Drosophila melanogaster: one gene and its partners. The protein of the gene in region 1 purifies or fractionates together with the protein of each later gene. This does not show direct contact. Each region holds a gene or a part of one and is shown on either strand. Other genes may lie near its edges.

Region 1 (5,018 bases):
GAGAGAGAGAGCGAGAGCGGGAGAATTGCACTGGAGCGAGTGAGCAACAACAAAGGCCGTCCACTGTGTGTTGTTTAAATGCAAATATGCGGTTTATTAATTAAAACAAAGGCAGCTATAAAACGTAAAAAATACAAAAACGAGAAGCAAAAAAACTCCATTTCCTCCCAACATACACACACACGCACACATGGACATACGATACGCACACATTCGCACATGTACAGTTGCAGCAGGAGAGGCAGCAGCGTTGCCAGAATACCTTGAAATTGCAGCCCGGCAATATTGCACAAATGCAATGGCGCGCCAGCATTTCCATTTGAATTTTAATCGCTCTGTGCCCGCAATGCATATGGCAGAGAAAATGTAAATTAATTGCACAATCTACGAGCGCGACACTCAGGAATGCTAGCAATGCGGGCCACCGCCTCAAAAGCGAAACTTATGCCCAGTTGTTGTTGTTGTTGCTGCTGTGCTTATTAATGGGCGCCGCCTTCAATGTGGTGTGAAAAAAATATGCATTCGGTTTATCATCAATAAAGAAACAACTTCTGCTCTTGTTTACACTGACGAATGTGTGTACACAAAGGAGGAGAGCAGGCAAGAAATGCAGCCGAGCGCAAGCAGCAGGGGGGAAAACTGGCTTAGTCAGTTGCATTTACAGTCAGTCACCCTCCCTTTTTTTCCATGATTAATGCCGCGCTGCAGCAACAACAAACCATGCCAGAAATGTCAAAGGTCCCCAGTTTGTTGAACTCTTTTTTTTACCCACCCCCCACTCCCTCCTTCCTACTAATCGAATGCCGCCGTATTTTGGGCAGCCTGCGCCTTATCAGTGGAATTGGGAATAATCGTGAAAATGGAAAGTAATTTCCAGCTGCGGGCCGAAAAGCGGCCACTGACGGACTGTCAATCATAATTGCTTCGTGGAATGCAACATATGGGGGCGATTGCTTATCGGCATCTGGAAGGCGACGGCATCAATTAACATTCCGCGCAAGGGGCTCGTTTTTCATTAACCAATGTAATTAATAAGATTAAACAGCAATTGCGTCGCCAGTTTTTGTGCGGGTGACCGCACCCATTTCTCCCCCGGCCACTACCACATACTACACGCTTTTCCTCTCGCACAGAAAAAATATGAAAAATATGCAAACCGCATCGCGCGCTTTAAAAAGTGAAGGAAAAAACAACAAGCCAAAATGGAAGGCACCATTGGAAGTCGTTGACAGTTGTTTGTCTGCCACTCCCCCCACCCAGCCCCCAACACTATTACAGCTACTTAACGGATAAGAAAAGAAAGGGAAAAGGAGAAGGGGAGTTGGAAGGCGAAGAGGGAGACAGCTATTTCTGAGTCCAGCTTAAACTGCATCAATTTTTATTAAAAGCAATTACAAGCTGCTGCTGCTGCTCCTGCTAAAGTATACAGAGAGAAAATTTGCTGTTGTGTGGATGGAGTGAGAGCACAGTTGCATGGATCTCGAAGATGCTAAGAAAAGATGCATGCAGCGCATAGAGATGACAACTTTTCGTGCAGTGCAAAAAGAAGTCGAAAGAAAAGTGAAATAAAAAAAAAACAGTGCAGCAACAAAAGACAAAGAGCAGACGGCGAGAGAGGGAGCGAGACAAAAGGAGAGAGTCGGCAAGTGCAAAATTTGAAGCACGACTTTTGCAAAGGGGAGCACAAAGAGATGAAGGGGTGAGGGGCGGCGTCGGCGCACACACAAATTTTATGTATACGCTGTGCACACACACACGCGCAAAGGACCAGGCTACAGGTTCACACACACAGGCATGGGCGCTGGGAGAGAGAGGGAAGGCGGCACAAATGTATCCCTTTTCAGTTACGGGGCAGGGCAGGTCACACACACACATGCACACGGGCAGGCTTAGCAGCACACCATGATGGCGGCGCTGGCTCTCTTCCCCGAGCTCTCTCGCTCTCTCCCGCAGGAGCTGGGAAAAAATCTGTACCGCAAAAATGCCTTGAAAATCTGGGATTTCTGGAATATCTGAGAGTTTTCGGCTCTTCCTGGGATTCTACCTAGTCCGTTTTTGGGTTTTCCCTAATTATCCTGGGTACTTTGAAGGATGCCAAATGATGGCTCGATTTATAATGAGGTTTTCATGAATTTTCTATGGTTTTTTTCCCCGGATTTATGACCACCACTCACCTCGTATTTCAGGCCCACAAGACGCAGCCAGGTCTCCACCTTCAGGCAGTAGGGCGACAGGGAGGGCAGCAGTGGGGTGCGCGAGAACTGGTACAGATAGATGATGTCCTTCTCGAAGTTGGTCTTGTGCACATTGAATTTCTGGGCGGGCGGGGCTTCCGATTTGGTCGCCACGGGTGCTGCCACCGCCTCGTCCTTTTTGGGCTCCTCGCCATCCTGCTGCTTGTCCTGCTTTCCGGCCTCGCCGTCCTTCTTCTCGCCATCGGCATCCTCAGCCTTCTCCACTGCGGGGGCGGCAGCTGGAGCGGCCGCTGAGTCCGCTGGCGGGGCCGCTGACTTTTCCGGCTCCTCTGATTTTTCCGCCGCCGCCACTGCGGGCGTTTCCTCGGCGGGTATTTGGGCCACTTCGCTTGCCATTTCGATTTGTTGCTTTTGTTTTTTTTTTTTGTTTTTCTTTACTTTTCGATCCGCTTTTCTTTTTGTTAGCTACTCTTGCTTTTCGCTAATTGAAGTTGCGCTTTCTTTCAGCTAAAAAGATTTCGGCTTCGCACTTTTCCTGCCACTCGCACACATACACACACGCGAGAGAGAGGGAGAGCTAGAGAGCGAGAGAGAAACCACCACTGCGATTCGTTTCGTTTCGAACTCGGATTCGGGTTTCGGGTTTCAGCTGCACGATAGGATATCTTGGCTGGATGCGATTCGCTTTCGGATTCGGATGGATTCAGGAGCCGCTGTCTCGACACCGCCGCAACCGCTCTCGGGAGTTTGAAAATTTGAAATGAGCGGATTCGCGTTGCGAAGGCGAGCTAGCGTTGCAGGCAGTGTGGCCAGATGCCGCGTGCGAACGTATTCTCGAATGCAATCGGCCGAGTGCAGATGCACTAAAAATAACCCACTTCCAGTGACTGGAAATTAAGATCAAGGAATAGATTTTATAAAAACTTATATGAGTAAAAATTTTAAAATTGTGGAGTCAACCTAAATTATAAGCAACTAATTTATAACACAAGTAAAGAATGATATTAAGTAACTTTTTAAATAATATTCCATTATGCTTACGCTCAATTTATGAACAAATGTTTTCTCGATCCTTAGGTAAAGTTTCGAGTTTCGCGACTAGATTTATTAAAATTAAGAACATCTCCATTTATGTACACATTTAAAGATTTATGAGCGGTAATATTAGCTGGTTGACTGAACAGATACCCTTTTAAAACTACTATCAATAGAACCTTTTTCTGTATTACCTATTTCGACTCTATCAATAACTGTTACAATAGTTAAGTTAATTCAAAATATAATATTAGTTTATGATTTAATTCACAAAAATTGATCTGAACTTTCTCTCTCATTCAGCTTTCAATAATGTTTTATGTTTATTTATAACGTTTGTTAGTTTATTTTAGGAGACAAACTATTTTGTTTTGAGAAACTGCAAAGCGCCATCTGGGAGGGAGTGGCAGAAGTTTTGAAATTTGAATAGGGAACGGATGGCACCTCCCGACTTTTGCAGAAATCAGCATGGCAACTGTGGAAGTACAGAAAATTGCAGTAATTTACTTCAATTTTAAAACTATAAATTTTAAAATTTGAAACATATTGAAAAATTTAAGACATTGAAAGAGCATTTTTAAAATGCAAATATGCGAAAGAATTGATCCCATTTACTTTTAAATTTACAACTGCTTACGATTGCTGAAAAATATCGCCAGCCGCTGTATTCGATAGTCACTATAGGCAGTAAATAGTCCATCTCTATCATTTTCACAAACAAAGATTTGTTTAATTTAATAAAAACGCAGTTTGACTAAAGTAAAAATCTAAGTTTATTGCTGCAACAATGGGAGCTGCTTTGGGCATCTGTTCAGCCGCTCAGGTAAGAAAATTGCGAGCTAATTAGCCAGGTAAAATTCTTTACATTGGCTACAAATCAATAAAAGCAGACATATGTTTCAAATGCGGAGAAATTCAACATTTTATTAATTTCACAATACTCATGAATGCTGCTATGATTTTCATCTAAAAGAAAGATTTAGCTTGCAATTTGAGCTATTAGATACTTTAATGAATTTTTAAATTTTTAATAAGTTGAAAACAATATGAAAAATGTATTGCAAACTTAACTTTCGATGGTTGATCATTCAATTAATCCGGATTATTGACAAAACTTATTAGCAAGTTGGATCAAATAGAATAATTCTTCAATTGCGTCTCCATTTAATACTTAATTCTTGCATTTCCAGTGCGCCATGTGCTGTGGAGGCACTGCAGCCAGCATGTGCTGCTCCGCCTGCCCGAGCTGCACCAACGCCTCCTCATCGCGCTTCATGTACGCCTTCATCCTCCTGGTGGGCACCGTACTGGGGGCGATTGCGCTGTCCCCTGGACTGCAGGACACCCTGAAGAAGATGCCCTTCTGCATCAACTCCACCTCGTCGTATAGCTCGGGAGCACTCAGCGCTGTCTCGGGAGGATCTCTGCAAGTCGACTGCGAGTATGCACTTGGTTACATGGCAGTATATAGGGTTTGCTTTGGCATGGCCTGCTTTTTCGCTCTGATGTCACTGATTATGCTGGGTGTGAAGAGCTCCAGGGATCCGCGTTCGCACATCCAGAACAACTTTTGGCCACTGAAATTTCTGATCTGCTTTGGCGCTGCGATTGGAGCCATCTTTATTCCGGATGGATCCTTTGGTCCGGCCATGATGTGGGTGGGTCTAATTGGTGGCCTGGCCTTCATACTCGTCCAGCTGGTCATCATTGTGGATTTCGCTCACTCGCTGGCTGAAAACTGGATAGGTGAGTCATGTTCCGGCCCATCTCCCAAATGATTCAACTCGC
Region 2 (5,093 bases), on another chromosome or scaffold:
TTAAATTATTGTAACCGTTTGCACTCAACTTTCCACTAGTCCTGGCTTCACGTTCACACGTTTTGCCTCGAATTTGACAAAAAATTGCTTTCTATTCTTTTTTAAGAGTATCGGCTGCACGCTGCACAGCACAAGGAGCTCACTTAACTCAACTGAACTCAACTCAAGGGGCTAAACAAATTAGAGAATTAATAATCAATAAATTAAATAAGATTATCATTTTGCATACGAATTATATAAACAATAATAACTCAAGGTGTTGGCTGGATGGCGACAAAAATACTTTACTATCGCAAGTAAAATTGGCAATTTAACGAATTTTAACGCTTGCAAGTTTGGCCTAAGCAAATTAAATAATATACCTAGGTATTCGAACATAAAAATACTTTAGGTAGTGTTAGCTATATAGAAATTTTGTTGTTGTTTTCGGGGCGAGCGGTGCTGCTGGCACAATTTGTAAAAAGGTAGGAAACGTAGGAAACTTTCGGCAAAGTTTAGTGAGTGCTGTTGTTGCTGTTGCTGCTGCTGCTGCTACATTTTTTTTTTTTTTTTGGTTTGGGGCGAGTGTTTAATTGCTGTTGTTCATACTGCATCATCCTCCTTCTCTGCGCAATATTCCTGGCGTAATTCTCTGCTCTGTTCTCATCGGTTGTTGTTATGGTTGGCGATACTTGCTACAGCTTATGCGGATGGTCCGTGATCCGTCGTCTACAGCTTGGCACAGATCTCGTTCGTGAACTCGGAGCACTTGGCACGGCCGCCCAGATCGCCGGTGAGGTATTTGCCCTCCTTGATGGTCTCGAAGGCGGCACGCTCGATTTTATCGGCGTACGTGTTGAGCTCCATGTGGCGCAGCATCATGACCGCCGACAGCAACAGGGCAGTGGGATTGGCCAGGTCCTTGCCGGCAATATCGGGGGCGGTTCCGTGCACAGACTCGAACAGGGCACCGTTCAGGCCCATGTTGCCGGAGGGCGTCAGGCCGAGGCCGCCCACCAAACCGGCGCACATGTCAGACAGAATATCACCGTACAGATTGGGCATGACCTGGCATTATGGAGACGGCATTAGCTTAGTCGCTGATACTATACTTTAGCGACTGCGTAATTCAACTCACCAGCACGTCGTATTTTCCGGGGTTCTGGACCATGTTCAGGCACACCGTATCCAGATACTTCTCTTCGAACTGGATTTCTGGGAACTTCTGGGCCATGTCGCGGACGCAGCGCAGGAAGAGACCATCGGACATGCGCCTGTGAGAAATGGTAGGAAAATAGCATTAGTTTCACAACAACAAAAAAGAGTAGCTCTCGTGGCCAACTTACATAATGTTCGCCTTGTGCACCACGGTGACCTTCTTGCGGTTGTTGTTCTTGGCGTACTGGAAGGCGTACTCGGCCACACGCTTGGAGGCTTCCTCGGTGATCAGCTTGATGCTCTGAACGACGCCGTCGACGATCTCGTGCTCGATGCCGGAGTACTCGCCCTCGGTGTTCTCACGGATGGTGACCACGTCCACATCGTCGTACAGCGTCTTGTAGCCCTCGAGACTGCGGCAGGGACGCACGTTGGCGTACAGATTGAACTCCTTGCGCAGGGCCAGATTCAGAGACCGATGGCCCTTGCCGACGGGCGTCATCAGAGGACCCTTCAGGCCGATCTTGTTCGTGTTCACCGAGTCAATGGCGGCCTGTGGGATGCCGAACTTTCCGTCGGGTCCCTGTTAACATGTCACGCACAAATGAAATAAGAAGTAAATAAATAAAGCTAGCTCGCAAATTGTTTTATATATGTGTCGTCTTCTCCGACATATGTATGCATTTTTTTTTTGGCTTTTAACAGAGCAAATTAATATTTGGCGAAAATATTGCATGGATTCGTATCCATTGATTTGGCATTTATATCGAATATATGGCAATGGAATGTTAACTAGAGCCTGGTTGTATTTCAAATTTACCGCCCAGACGACCGTAGTTGCCACCTGTTGTCAAACGGCCACGCGCTTCGAAGGCGATGGCGCTCAACTTGGATTTGAAATGTCAAGTTGAACCACTAACTCTGGCTGGGATTACGACACTTACCCGGACGGGGGTCACGTCCACGGCCTCCCACTCGATGGGGACATTGGCGGCGGTGAAGATTTTCTGCACGGCCGCAGAGATCTCAGGTCCGATGCCATCGCCAGGGATGAGGGTGACTTTCTTGGTGCCGGAGGAGTAGGACCGGCTGGCGGCGGGAGTCGCGTTGACCTGGAAAATAGCAAGACCATAGGCGGGTTACAGAGTGATCTACAGAAATGGTGGCGAGAAAACGCATAGATGGGCAGCAGCAACAGCAGCAGCATCTAGCGGGATTACATAAGTGCCCATGCCAAACAAAAATCCCGTCCGCCCTACCCCCCGTGCCAAACAGTTCGTCGCGTTGAGGTTAGAGTGCACAAATGATTCCCACGGCGCTGATAAGGCCGCAAATCAGGGCCCAATCTCGGTAACTGATTTTTTCCCGCCTCTCGAGTAGGGGGTGGGATTTTCGAGGGTCCGAACCACCCGCCCTGCCCGCCGTTATCGATATCTCGGCCACGCAACGAGGGAGCGAGAGAGAGAGTGTTATGTAAAGTGAATGCGAATTCTAATGCTGTGCTCTTTTCGTTTTCGCCGGACGGACAGCTGATGTCCTGGCGAAGGAGGTGGTGGCCCCCACTGCGGATCCCGGATGGTTCCGTCGCTGCCGCCGCTGTTATGGAACCAACCTGGCTCACTGCTGGCGTCGCAGTCACCGCCGGAGCATCACGCGCTGCAATCAAACCCAGTTGATTGAGCTGCAAGTGTTTTGCGTAATGTGTTGTTGTCGTTGGGAATCGCGGAATCGCAGATCATTGCATCGGTGGTTTGCAGGGTTGGTTAGCGGGCGTGGAGTTGGAGGGCAGGAGCGTCGGACGAGAAACAAAATCGCAATGTTAGTGGTAGTTGGCCAGTACTTTTTGGCCAGCACGTAATCAACTGCTGTCCTGCAGAATTGGTTTGGTCGCTGTATGGTGGGGTTAAGAGGCGCGACGCGGGGCGGGTCAAGTCGCTTAAGCCTAAACGGGTCTTACAATTTTCTGTATGAATCTAGCAGCCATTGCGTTGGATCGGTTTTTGCACTGATTCCTGCCGTATATTATATAGAAAAAAGTCTGTCTTTTTAGTCTGCGCCCGCCGTAGTCGCCACCTTGCGGAAAACTGGCGAATCTGCGGTATATCGGTCGATAGGCATGCGGGGGCAGCGTCGTTGCCACCTGGACTGCGCTCAGATGGGGGTGGAATTACAAATCACCCATATCCCCGTATTTGTATGCTCTCGCTTGCATCAGTCACATAATTGCTGTACGAGCATCATATGTATGGCGTAAAACCACATTAAAGTTGGCTGTGAATAAACAGATGTCGAATATCGATGTCGTCTGCCCGAAATTCAGTACAGCCTGCCGTGTGGCATCCCTGTACAGGGCAAAAGCGAAATATCGGAGCGGCCTAATCGATAGTTTGTGTATCCCTTGCAACCGTGGCTGCTACAGCCACAGTTTAAATTAATTTGAGCATTCGCTCAGTTTTCTGACGTATATTCTAGAAAAAGTGCTGAGAGTGTCCATCAAAAAGGGGCAAGCGAAGCCGTTTCTCGATCTCCAACGAAAACGGGGATAGGATAATCCAAGGGGCCGCCTGTCGAGAAGCCAGGCGAGGGCAAAAAATCGGATCAACCGACAGACAAAGCTGAACTGCGGTCGTCGGCGACAAAGTGCGCTGTGCCCACGGACGACCAGAGAGAATCGGTACGCGAGTGAGTTTTTTTTTCCGCGTTTCAGTTTGGATTTCAGTTACCTGCGCGCAACAACTCCACTGACCAGCCGTTCGCAGCGTTCCGTATCTGGAGTTTCTGGCCAAGAGTACTCCTTTCCAAGTAGCCCCAGCTCCGCGTCCGGCAGGCCGTACTGCGTAAGCGGGCGAAAACGGTACGTGCAGTGAGATCCGTGTGGCAGCGTCTTCGGTTGTGTGCTTGTGGGGCACCAGAGTACCAGGTAGGCGTCCTCCGAGTCCCTCCGTGTCCCTCCGTCCAGCCAGATTCGGATTCCTGCATTCAAATCCAAATGCATTGCCGTTTCCAAACTCAGCTGGCTTGGCCCTCACCCATACACCTATACACGCGTCGCTAGCACACGCAATACACGCGCATACGCTCACACGGACGCACGCACACTTATGAATGTATCTGTTTGACAGCGCACTTCTGCGCTCGTTGCGGGAAAAGTGCCTCTTGCCAAGCGCACACTCTCGCCAAACGCGGTGCAGAGTTTCTATTTGCTGGATTTTTCAGCCGGAGAGCAGAGTACGGCTGTCATCCGTGTCCGAATCAGTCGTTAACACATGTCCCCACTGTTCTTGCAGCTCCGCAGTGCTCGTGTTCGCTAGTGCTCGTGTTTAGCCAAAACTAGCACCCTGGAGAAGCATAACAAGCGCGCCCAGCTCATCCGGGACAAGATGGTGTTGGCGGAGCGCAACACCACGGATGTGGTGCGCAACGGGCGCCGTTCGCGCGGCCCCAGTCCCAATACGCACACCACGGGCGGCGTCACCAACAGCGCCAGCCTCGTGGGCAGCGGCAACAACAGCGGCCACTCCGGGAACGCCAATGCGAACGAGAAGACCACCACAGCTGTGCCAGGTGCAGGCACGCCGGAGAGCTCCGACGACGACAACTGTAAGTGAAACGCCCCGGAATTACCTTCCTGCCACTTCAGCCCACTTATCTGTACCGTCTCCCTTTTCCAGCCACCAAACGGAACGGCAAGAGCAAGGCCAAGCAGTCTGAGTACGAAGGTGAGTACCTGTAGTCTTTTTCCGCACGATGTGGTCTTTAAACAAATTTTCATTTCATAGAGAAAATCCGCGTTGGACGCGACTACCAGGCGGTTTGTCCGCCGCTCGTTCCGGAAGCGGAGCGCCGCCCGGAACAAATGAACGAACGCGCCCTCCTCGTATGGTCGCCCACCAAGGAGATTCCTGATCTGAAATGTACGTATTAGTGGCTTACTTGCCCATTTGATCTCTGGGTTG
Region 3 (3,876 bases), on another chromosome or scaffold:
ACGGCCTTGTCGGATACATAGTAGGTGATCAGAAAGGTGCGTATGATTCCAGCCTCTGCATGGAACCACTCGGCCACGAAGGCCAGACGCCGCTCGCTAGCCGGAATCGCAGCGGGTTTCATGGTATCGTTTTGAGGGGAATCTTATACCTTGCTTTTCCGTTCTATCGCTTGACAGCAAGTCCTTTATTTCGAGTGATAACTGTTTGTTTGCTTTGCATTTCAATTGTGCTTCTTCTTTCCCGCGTTGTCACAGCAACAGTGTTGCCAACATAACAAAATTCATTTAAGTGGGCGCAAAATTTAAAGAAAAAAATACCTATGTTAATTTTAAACCCAAATTCTAGGGGATTACCCATAAACAATTTTTAACCATTACCTATAATTTCTTTTTAAAATCGCTATCTATTCAAAGATAAAGCCTTCTTTGCGACATCTTTAAGAAGCTGGACTGCGCATTCCGAATTTAACAGTTTAGAGATTTCTAGAACATTTATAGAATGTTGTAAACTTATAAAATATTGAAAATAAAAAGCCGAATATAAGTTTTTCATTTTTTTTATTGTTAATTTCCTTTATTTACAGGAAACAAAAATAATAAACTGCAAACTGATTTTTGCAATAAATTGGTTGTAGCTTTCCTCTGGTTGTTAAATTCTAGCGTAAAACTTATGGTTTCCCTTGTCGGCGCCAAATCATCTTGTTCCTTGTGTTGCTTTTTGTTAACATCTCTCCTCTGAATACGCATAATATTCAGGTATATTAAATGTGGTTTTCTTCGATTGGAATAGTGTTTCATGTACGCATGCGTTTGTGGATGTTTTATGAGTGATTGAGTGTTTCTTCTTTTTCTTTTCTGGTGTGTATGTGAGGAGTGAGTGTTGTGATCGTGTGCTGACTTATGGTATAAGAGCCACGCCTAACGCTACGACTACGCCAAATTGCGAGACACCATCTGAGCGACCGTCTAGGCAGCTGGCTTCTTCTCCTTATCACCCTCGCCGCCCTCCTCGTCATCCTCGTCGTTCTGGGACAGACTTGGGATGTTGTCATCCGAGTCCTCCTCCTCGTCATCGACGTTGAAATCGTCGAACTTGTTGTTCCAATCGCCACCAGGGCTGTTAAGGAAATTTCCAAACATGCTGTTGTCTTTTTGGTCACCTGCAAAGTGCGTTTGTATGAGTGGGTTTGCTGGATGAGATCTTGGGGATGAGGATGTCAACTTACCCTCCTCGTCGTCGGACTCATCGCGCCACTTGGCAAAGTTGGCTTTTAGGAAATGCAACTTGGTCTTGTCCGTGGTCAGCGAGGACCAGTAGGGACCGGCCGCCTTCTTGGGTATTGTGAATTCCAGGCAGCGGCCAATGTTCTTGCTGGTCACCTTCTCGGGATCCACCTCGTGGAGGAAGTTCAGTGTGACCTCGTACTTCTTCGACGGATCCAGCACGTTTACGCCCTTGAAGGTGAAGGTTTTTTCCGTAACTCTGTTTTGGGATAAATATATGGAATTAGGATGTGCAAGGAGCATGGACATACTACATATGGGGGCATATACTTGTGTTCGATGTCCTTGCATTCGACATCGATGATGACGTAGATCAAGTCATTGCGCTGGGCCCAGGAAACTGGAGGCGGAATCAAGCTGCAATGGAGGATCAAGTTGGATAAACATAAATAAGAGCTTCATGTCGTTGTGCGAGATCCGTTGCCATGGCAACTCGCGTCGGACTTTCTGGAAGCGGGTGCACGAACTATGTAAATAGCTTCCCAGCTAGCTAGATTTGCATAAACCATAAGCCCAGGCAAAAGTCCATGCCGAAAATGCACGGCATTACCGCCAGCCGAAAACATAACCTCAAACACTGGACCCTCCGATTAGTTCCACAAATATCGCAATGCAGATGCGCACAGGACACGCCCACCGTGGACACAAACGCTTGGCCAGGCGGATGAGCGCGAGAATAAGGGTCATCCGAACGAAAATTATGTGTTTTTCACGGCCGGGAGTTCGAAAATGGACGCCGCCGCAACGACAAAGCACGCGACGCACAAAGAAGCCACAAAAAGATGGTCCGGCTATCGCCGATTGGCACTGAGATGGCCGGTTGTGGACTCACCCTGCTGCTGCCGACATTATGTTGTTGCTGTGAATTGTTGGTTTATGTTTTACGAAGTCGGAACACTTCTGACTGACAGCCTGACTTGGTTACAAAAAAAGGCAGTTTCTGTTGAACAAAATTGTCATGCACAAAATTGACATGAGAAACAGAGTTACCGAGCGCGCTGCGGAGATGTGACTAAATTTGAACGGTGCTCTGGGGTGCGAAACTTCGATAGTTGTACTCAAACCACAAATGTTAGCTTGTTACGTGTAACGTAAATTTGAAGTGTTGTGTCAAAACATTTTACATTGTCGGTAAAAAGTATTGAAATCAACTTTTATTTGGTTCAAGGAATTTATGATGATGATTATAAATCTATGATCTACCAAAGTCGGCACGTTTTGGCGCCAGGACGCATGCCGCTGCCCACGGAGCAGTTGTAGGCGTGGAAGAAGTCCTCGCTGTTGGACAAAACTCCCAGGACACGAAATTGGTCGAAGGTGTGCACATCGCTAAGACCTTTCCAGTAGTGCTCCTCCTCGTAATGGGAGCAAAATAGCTGGGCAAATCCCAGGAAGAACAACTGTTCCGGCGTGAGATCGAGACCCGGCATGGCGTCGCTTATCCTCTCCTGCCCAGGATGCTCCAGCAGTTGCTGCCTGTGACTGCGATAGGCCGTCAATGCTTGTCTTAATCCGCTATTGTCTGCGATATTCTCGTCCAGTGTAGTTTTTCCGTTGACACGCCTGCTGATCTCCGGTACCTGGTACTTGCCATAGTAGTCCATGTAGCACTCGGCGCGATCCTCTAATGCCTGTTGCGAAATTTCCGACAACAAGGACTCCATGTGACCATTGCCATCGAAATAGGAGCTGGTCGTATCGAAGCCGTGGATGAGTTCATGACCAACGATAAAACCCAATGTGCCGAATTTCAGGGAAATCGGCAGGTGGCGTTGGTATATCGGTGGTTCCACCACGCCAGCCATCACATTAATGGAGTTGTCCGGAGTGTAGTAGCCCGCTCCAACCTGCAATCCTGTCAGGATCTTCTGTGGCTTGGTGTCATTGGTCAGCTCCTGAAAATGCCGACTGCTAAATCGATTGATTTGTACAACTAGGTGCTGCAAATTAATGTTGGTCTCCGCATAGCGATCCTCGATGACTTTCAGACTGTTGATTTCCCGGATTATTCGATCCGAAAGTGCATCATCTTGGAACGAACCAATGCGTGGCTGTATTCTGGACTCCTTAAGCAGTGCCCTCGCCCTGCTCTCCGCATCCAGCCAATCGGCATCCTCCAGCGCCTTTCGCAGACTCTTTCGCAGTTCCCGCACCATTTCCGACATCTCCAGCCTCTTCGCCTCACTGAAGTTGTTCTGTAACACAAGAGTGTTGAGATTATTTGGTATTCTCATCATACGCATTCGTTACCCACAGCCATGTAGAGTTTGTTGAACAGAAACCGCATGGATTGATAAAGCGTAACCGAACAGTAGTTCCTTTGGTACCTGGGCGCCTTCAGTTTGGGATCGAATCTATAGAGCAGCTTCATGGCCAGGTAGTTGGCCACAGCCTTGCGATGTCGGGCGCATACTTTGTCCAGTTCAACGTAGTAAAAGTCGCAGAATAATTTGTTAGTGGAGTGGAGTCCACTCCACGAGATGTTATAGTAGTACTCCGATTGGGGAAACACTCGCTTAATTCGGTAGGGATCAAACACTTCGCACTGGGGCGGGATCTCGAGTGCGTCCCGCCAGAAGGCAAAGACCCCAG
Region 4 (5,928 bases), on another chromosome or scaffold:
CCAGGAACATTCACTTTCGACCATGTTCAATCGTCTTAATTACCGACTGGCTTACGTAAACTTTTCTTCTTGCTAATTGATTTTCCATCGAATGAGTTCTCGAAATCAAAGGTCTTCGTGCACTTTTAAATGACATTGTACATTTCCTCTTAATTAAGAGTCGATTATGGCGGTAATCCGAACTATTTGCCAGTCATTTTGTGGGGTTTTCAATTTTATTGGAATTTATTTATACAAAACAAACTCAAGATTAAAATCTATAAGCAAACTGACTAATATAAACACAAGCATTGATGGCAGTTCTATCTATTATATAAATTGTGTAAATACCTCCATGCAGATAACCAGCAGTAATAAACCAAGAATTTAAGCCTGATTATTGCGTTTCAAGGCTGGGATTTGCAGATAAATAATATGAATATCTCAAAAGTCTTTATACCCCTTTAATTACGCACCAAATTATGCATTTGAATTCTCTAGAAATGAGTACCAAACAACCCATAAATTCAAAATCAATGCTTATTGTACATCTATAAGTATTTTATATTTATTTTGGAATTTATCATAAATTTTGCTTGAATTTTAAATACACATCCATAGATCGTCATTAGCTATTCTCAATTCAGTTTTAAATAGGTCGTAACATAATAAGTTTGACTTGCAAGCAAAACAGAAACGAACAAAATGTATCTAAAAAATGTGAATACTTAAGTGAATCAATATATTTTATATGCTGTCTTCATGTACATAGATAATAGATAATATATAACAATTACGATTACAAAAAAACACGACATTTTATGTGAGTGCAGGACAGTGACGGCGGAAAAAGGGGGTCGGGACATGGAACAGGGGGGAGGGAGGAGAGGGGGACAGTGGAGCAGTGGGCGTAGGAGCACAGCTTGGATGAAAAATGAATTTCGCTTTCTTGTTGTCTCTCTGGTCGAGGCGACGAGAGATAAAGTTCTATAATGTAAGCGTTAAATATATTATTTATATTATGTTTGTTATATATATAAGATCGTATATATGTGAGTGTGTGTGTGTGTGTGTGTTGCGTGTGCGAGGGAGTGGGGTTATTCCTATATCGTTTTAATGACTTAAAGAACTAGAAAACATCATCATCAGCAGCAGCAGCAGCAGCATCATCGTCATCAGTGTCATCCCTTTCGCCTGATTAATCTGGGTTAGTATCAGAATCGAATTATTCCACAGGACAGAGACAGACACACAATAATTTAGTCTAGATACTTGTATTTGGAGGCATATATCGTGCGATTAAGATGTCCTGTCTACTTGATCCGCTGCAGCTGCGTGTCGAAGGCATCGTGGGCCGCTTTAGTTTTCCTTTTGTTTTTTTGTTTTCTCCTTTTTGTTTGGTTTTTTTTTCACTTTCAGTTTAGTTCCAAGTTCGGTTTTGTTCCGTTTATAAATATTGTTTATGCATTGTGTGTTGTTTCTGTGTTATCATTACAGTAATTATTTGTAATAAAGACGACGGCATTCTAGGAATTGTTTATGCACAAAAGCAAATAGTTATTAGTTCCATGCTCCAATGCTAGCTTTAGTTTCATGTTTTTCTTTACTTTCATTTCGTGTTAAGCTATTTCAATGTTTATTAAGTGTTCTTTCTCCATCTCCCTCTCTCTGGCGCGGCTATCATCATCTTTTTCTGTCCCAGTTAAGCAGGATGAGTGCTGCTTGAGTTCGTGGTTGATTGATTGATTCTCCTTTTGATTTGATTAGATCCCCGGAAAGCAGAGTGTCACTTAGTACCTGCTGTTGTTAAACTGCGAATTGATGGCCGTATTAACGGCCGAGGAGGCTGCTTCCTGGACGTGCTGGTTGCGCAGAAACTCGGTGGTGAACTCCGCCTGGGCCTTGGCCATACTGGCCCCTGTGCTGCGGTAGATCGAGTGAATCTTTGTGATCATCAGCACATTGGCCACGGCCACCGCTGTGAAACAGAATGCCACGTTCAACAGCAGAATGCCGACGATAATACCCGACGCTTGCCCATCGAACTGCCCGATGGCCGTAATAAAGCCACAGTAGCCCATCTTGTTGAAGCCCACCGCCTGCACAATCGAGTACAGCGTTTGAAAGAAGTAGATGAAGAAGAAGACCATGAAGTTGAAGCTCGAATCGTTGCGGAATGCCTTGTACGCCGGTCGGAACCTGAAAATTAATCACACATCATCACATTATTCATGTTTTAAGAATCTTCCAGGTATAAACTCACCAGCAGACATAGGAGGCGGGCGAGAAGAGCATCGTGTAGAAGATGGCCAGGAAGAAGGTCTCGAATTCGCCAGCGTGGAACAGCAAAATTAGACCGCCTATCACGTTGGCCAACAACGTCATGGTGTAAACTGTCGGAGAAAGTATTCAAAATAGACACATACAATCAGCATAATGCTATAATCTGTAGGGGAAAGCATTATTATATACTATATACTATGCATGCAGTAAATAATGCTAGAAATGCATTTAAAAACTATCTTAATACTGATAACATGTAAATCAAACAAATTTCATGCTCCCCTCTTTGCAAGCATATTCTGCACAAAGGCACGCACACATCCAAGACCATTAGCCATTCAGCTATATCTGATTAATAATGGCATCGGCCTGTAGACGACACGCGATGACTAATTCCACAACCTATGGCACCGCTTATCAGCGAAAACATGTAGAAAACACAGCCATAAAGAACCAATACTCACAAATCCAAATGTAATACAATCGCTTGACCAGTTTCTGGAACTCGGGCGGTATCTCCACCTCGAAGTCCTGGTAGAAGCACGGCTTTACACAAAAGTTATCCGGCAGCGGTGGCCAGTTGTTCAGCTGCGGCACATTGCCCTGTAGCTGCTGCTCGCGGCGGTCCAGTTCGGCGGCCTTGCGGTCCAACTCCTCCTGCCGGCGCTGGATACAATGAAAATCATATGATTATCGACTGTTTTATATATACATTTTGTATGACTTAATAAATTGGCCGTATATGGTAAATACTTTAAATCTTATTCATTTACATATTTGGGAAAACAAAGGCGAAATTCAATGATAGGAATTCACATCCAAATCTTGAGTTTGTTAAACTTCTATCTTAACCTCAGGCATTTGGCCTATCTATAGGAAATATTCTGTACAAGAATAAAGTGCAAACTTAAGCCTCCAAATCATATGTATTTAGATCTACTAACTAGTATTTCTTGAATTATTGTGTAGGGCCGAAGAAGCCAAGTAAATCAAGAGAAACCGCAGTTTGCACAGTGAAGACTCGGCGCGGCAGCCGCTTCTAGTCTCAACCAGATAAATGCTCCAAAGCGGATATATCGTTGGCAGATCGAGATAAGCCCGCTTATCTTTCTGACTCTTGATGGAGAGTAAAATGTGATATGCCTGCCCTAATCCCGGCACTCTAGCAAAGTGATTACTGTACAGACTTTTAGGGCAAACTTTTAGTGTAACTGTGTGGTGTGGTCCATTTCGATTGTTTCCGAGTATTTGGATGTACATATGCGGTTTTTGGAGTATTGCGGATGTGGCCATGCCGGCACAGCACACCGCAGAGTGCTCACTGTTGTGTGGGCGGTAACGCGAGACGACCGGCCAAGTGGGTTACCTGCAGCTCCTCCGAGGTGATCTGTATGCTGGTGCTAGGCGCCGAGGCGCCCAGGGAACTGGTCTGCGGGGGCGGAATGTTCTGCGATAGCGGCTGGACCACCGCCGCCGTGTTCGTTGAGTTGATCTGCAGCTGCGGCTTGGCCTGCTCCTCGAATGGATTGTAATCCTCAAGAGAGACAAGGGCGGCGCCGCTCTGGAGTCGTCGTGCCTGCTGGATGGCGGGGTCCTGCGGGGGAAAACCGGGAAATCCCAATCAGAAACCAATTCATTCAACATATGTGACGAATGCACCCAACACACACACACACTACACTCACAGGCACGCACACCAACACCCCACCTTTGCGTACGTGTGCGTGTGTGTGCGATGGGTTTTTTCTTCGGCTTCCGCGCTCTCTCTCCTAGCTCTTCTATCGCCTCACCGCAAACGGATTGTCCAGATTGGGCTCCCCGAAGGGATTCTCGTCGAGACCGGAGCCGGACATGGGAATTCTACTTTGGATACGGCTGTTCAATGACCAGAAAAACGCACTGACTCGCACTTTGCTTTTCGCTGTGTATATTTTCCCTAAGACTCTGCTCAGTTATCGATGTCGGTTTTAGTGATGGTTCAGCATCGATAAGCTTTCGTTGGGAATCAAAGTGTAGGCCTCAAATATCGAAAGAATTACTTTAAAGAATTAATGTTATTTGAATTACATATTAAATTCATTTTGGCAGAAAAACTTATTATTTAACACATTTAACATTAATCTAGAATTCTGAAAAATGTGAATAACTGGTATACAATGGTCTGATTTTTTAGGACCTATTAATACATTTTATTAAAATGATAGCAAAAAGAAAAGATTCTATATACAATTGGATGTAAACCAGCAGTTATCATATGAATTTTAAATTTAAATGGCAACAATCGTGCCAATCGGAACTGCTCCAGCTGAACCAGCTGCGTGGAACCAGTTCCCATCCCTGGGGCCGCCATTCCGCAATTGGAATTCTAGTGTCTTGGGTTGCGATTCGATTCATTTACCGCTGCCCGCGTCTCCAATTCGGTTGTGTGCGATTCTGTCTGCTCCGCATCCAAGTCAAACATCCAATCCTTGCAAGAATGTCGAAGCCCAGCTACAAAGTCGGTGAGTTGCGTTATAAATAAACCCAAACGGATGGCAAACTCTCGAATCGAATCTCCGGCCGGCAACAGGCGACATGTGCGGGTGAATTGCATCTATTCATGAGCACATGTTTCTGAGGTTAAAAGAGAGACAAAACAGAGGAGAGCACGTTGTTGCTGGGGCAAAAAACGTAGAAATTCAGACCGTATGGTGTATAAATCAACAGTGCCTGCTTATCTGACCCTATCTCCCTTTTATATCCCACTCGACAGCCGATATCAGTCTGGCGGAATGGGGACGCAAGGCGATCATTATTGCGGAGAACGAGATGCCCGGTCTGATGGCCTGCAGGAAGAAGTACGGCCCATCTAAGCCCCTCAAGGGCGCCCGCATCACCGGCTGCCTGCACATGACCGTCCAGACCGCCGTGCTCATCGAGACCCTCGTCGAACTGGGCGCTCAGGTGGGTTCAGTGCCTCTTTGGCGCTCTAAATGATTTTATGCATCGTACCACCATTCGAATTGTATGCCCAACTGTAGGTCTGAACAGTCGGGATAATACACAAAGATAGCATCATTTCAATACTAAAAACCATTTCAAAAACCATAAAACCGACCAAAATTCCGTAAGGAAATTGTAAATTAGGTAGAAAGATAGGTATCTCCAAGCATTGTCCAAGGGCTGGTCCCTTATCACCTTTGGTTTACGCACCAATTTGAATAACAAAACTTTCGTTTAACAGCAGGGGGGCAAGTTCAAGGCGCCCAAGATAAGACCTCCAGATTGTTATTTCCTCTGACGCAGCACCATCTGCTTCAATCCTCGCACATGGCAACTATTTTCTGCCAAATGCTGATGTCCTGAAATACATAGATTTCCTGATATAGATCAATCCTATATGCAATGCAAATCAGTTTGCAAATATCTATATAATTTAGGTTCCTTCCCATCCACATCTCAACTTCAACGCATGAACTACATTTTCATTCTTTTATCCAGGTCCAATGGTCCAGCTGCAACATCTTCAGCACCCAGGATAATGCTGCCGCGGCCATCGCTGCCACCGGCGTGCCCGTGTACGCCTGGAAGGGTGAGACCGATGAGGAGTACATGTGGTGCATCGAGCAGACCTTGGTCTTCCCCGACGGCCAGCCCCTGAACATGATCCTGGACGATGGCGGCGAT

Evidence for each region.
Region 2: the proteins of fax (region 1) and Idh3a purify together in Drosophila melanogaster (affinity purification with mass spectrometry, with the first as the bait; one large-scale study listed by BioGRID). This does not show direct contact.
Region 3: the proteins of fax (region 1) and p23 purify together in Drosophila melanogaster (affinity purification with mass spectrometry, with the first as the bait; one large-scale study listed by BioGRID). This does not show direct contact.
Region 4: the proteins of fax (region 1) and Scamp purify together in Drosophila melanogaster (affinity purification with mass spectrometry, with the first as the bait; one large-scale study listed by BioGRID). This does not show direct contact.

The regions. Positions count from the first base shown.
Region 1 is NT_037436.4:16,408,828-16,413,845, forward strand, and holds the start of fax (failed axon connections), read right to left. Parts: upstream 3,002-5,018; 5' UTR 2,592-3,001; coding exon 2,175-2,591; intron 1-2,174. Other genes in the region: Serinc (serine incorporator), read left to right, coding at 4,018-4,053, 4,421-4,976. UniProt on the Drosophila melanogaster protein: Together with Abl, involved in embryonic axonal development.
Region 2 is NC_004354.4:19,518,579-19,523,671, forward strand, and holds Idh3a (isocitrate dehydrogenase 3a), read right to left. Parts: upstream 3,227-5,093; 5' UTR 3,122-3,226; coding exon 3,095-3,121; intron 2,819-3,094; coding exon 2,750-2,818; intron 2,250-2,749; coding exon 2,082-2,249; intron 1,721-2,081; coding exon 1,326-1,720; intron 1,254-1,325; coding exon 1,118-1,253; intron 1,048-1,117; coding exon 709-1,047; 3' UTR 553-708; downstream 1-552. Other genes in the region: CoRest, read left to right, coding at 4,518-4,737, 4,809-4,856, 4,917-5,051. UniProt on the Drosophila melanogaster protein: Probable catalytic subunit of the enzyme which catalyzes the decarboxylation of isocitrate (ICT) into alpha-ketoglutarate.
Region 3 is NT_033777.3:9,676,327-9,680,202, reverse strand, and holds p23 (p23), read right to left. Parts: upstream 2,277-3,876; 5' UTR 2,134-2,276; coding exon 2,117-2,133; intron 1,642-2,116; coding exon 1,555-1,641; intron 1,484-1,554; coding exon 1,227-1,483; intron 1,161-1,226; coding exon 967-1,160; 3' UTR 545-966; downstream 1-544. Other genes in the region: nmdyn-D7, read right to left, coding at 1-122; Nepl12 (Neprilysin-like 12), read right to left, coding at 2,484-3,479, 3,539-3,876. UniProt on the Drosophila melanogaster protein: Cytosolic prostaglandin synthase that catalyzes the oxidoreduction of prostaglandin endoperoxide H2 (PGH2) to prostaglandin E2 (PGE2).
Region 4 is NC_004354.4:15,445,653-15,451,580, forward strand, and holds Scamp (scamp), read right to left. Parts: upstream 4,232-5,928; 5' UTR 4,116-4,231; coding exon 4,053-4,115; intron 3,857-4,052; coding exon 3,629-3,856; coding exon of another isoform or gene 3,581-3,628; exon of another isoform or gene 3,207-3,580; intron 2,929-3,206; coding exon 2,727-2,928; intron 2,373-2,726; coding exon 2,243-2,372; intron 2,179-2,242; coding exon 1,770-2,178; 3' UTR 527-1,769; downstream 1-526. Other genes in the region: Ahcy (adenosylhomocysteinase), read left to right, coding at 4,739-4,763, 5,015-5,205, 5,743-5,928.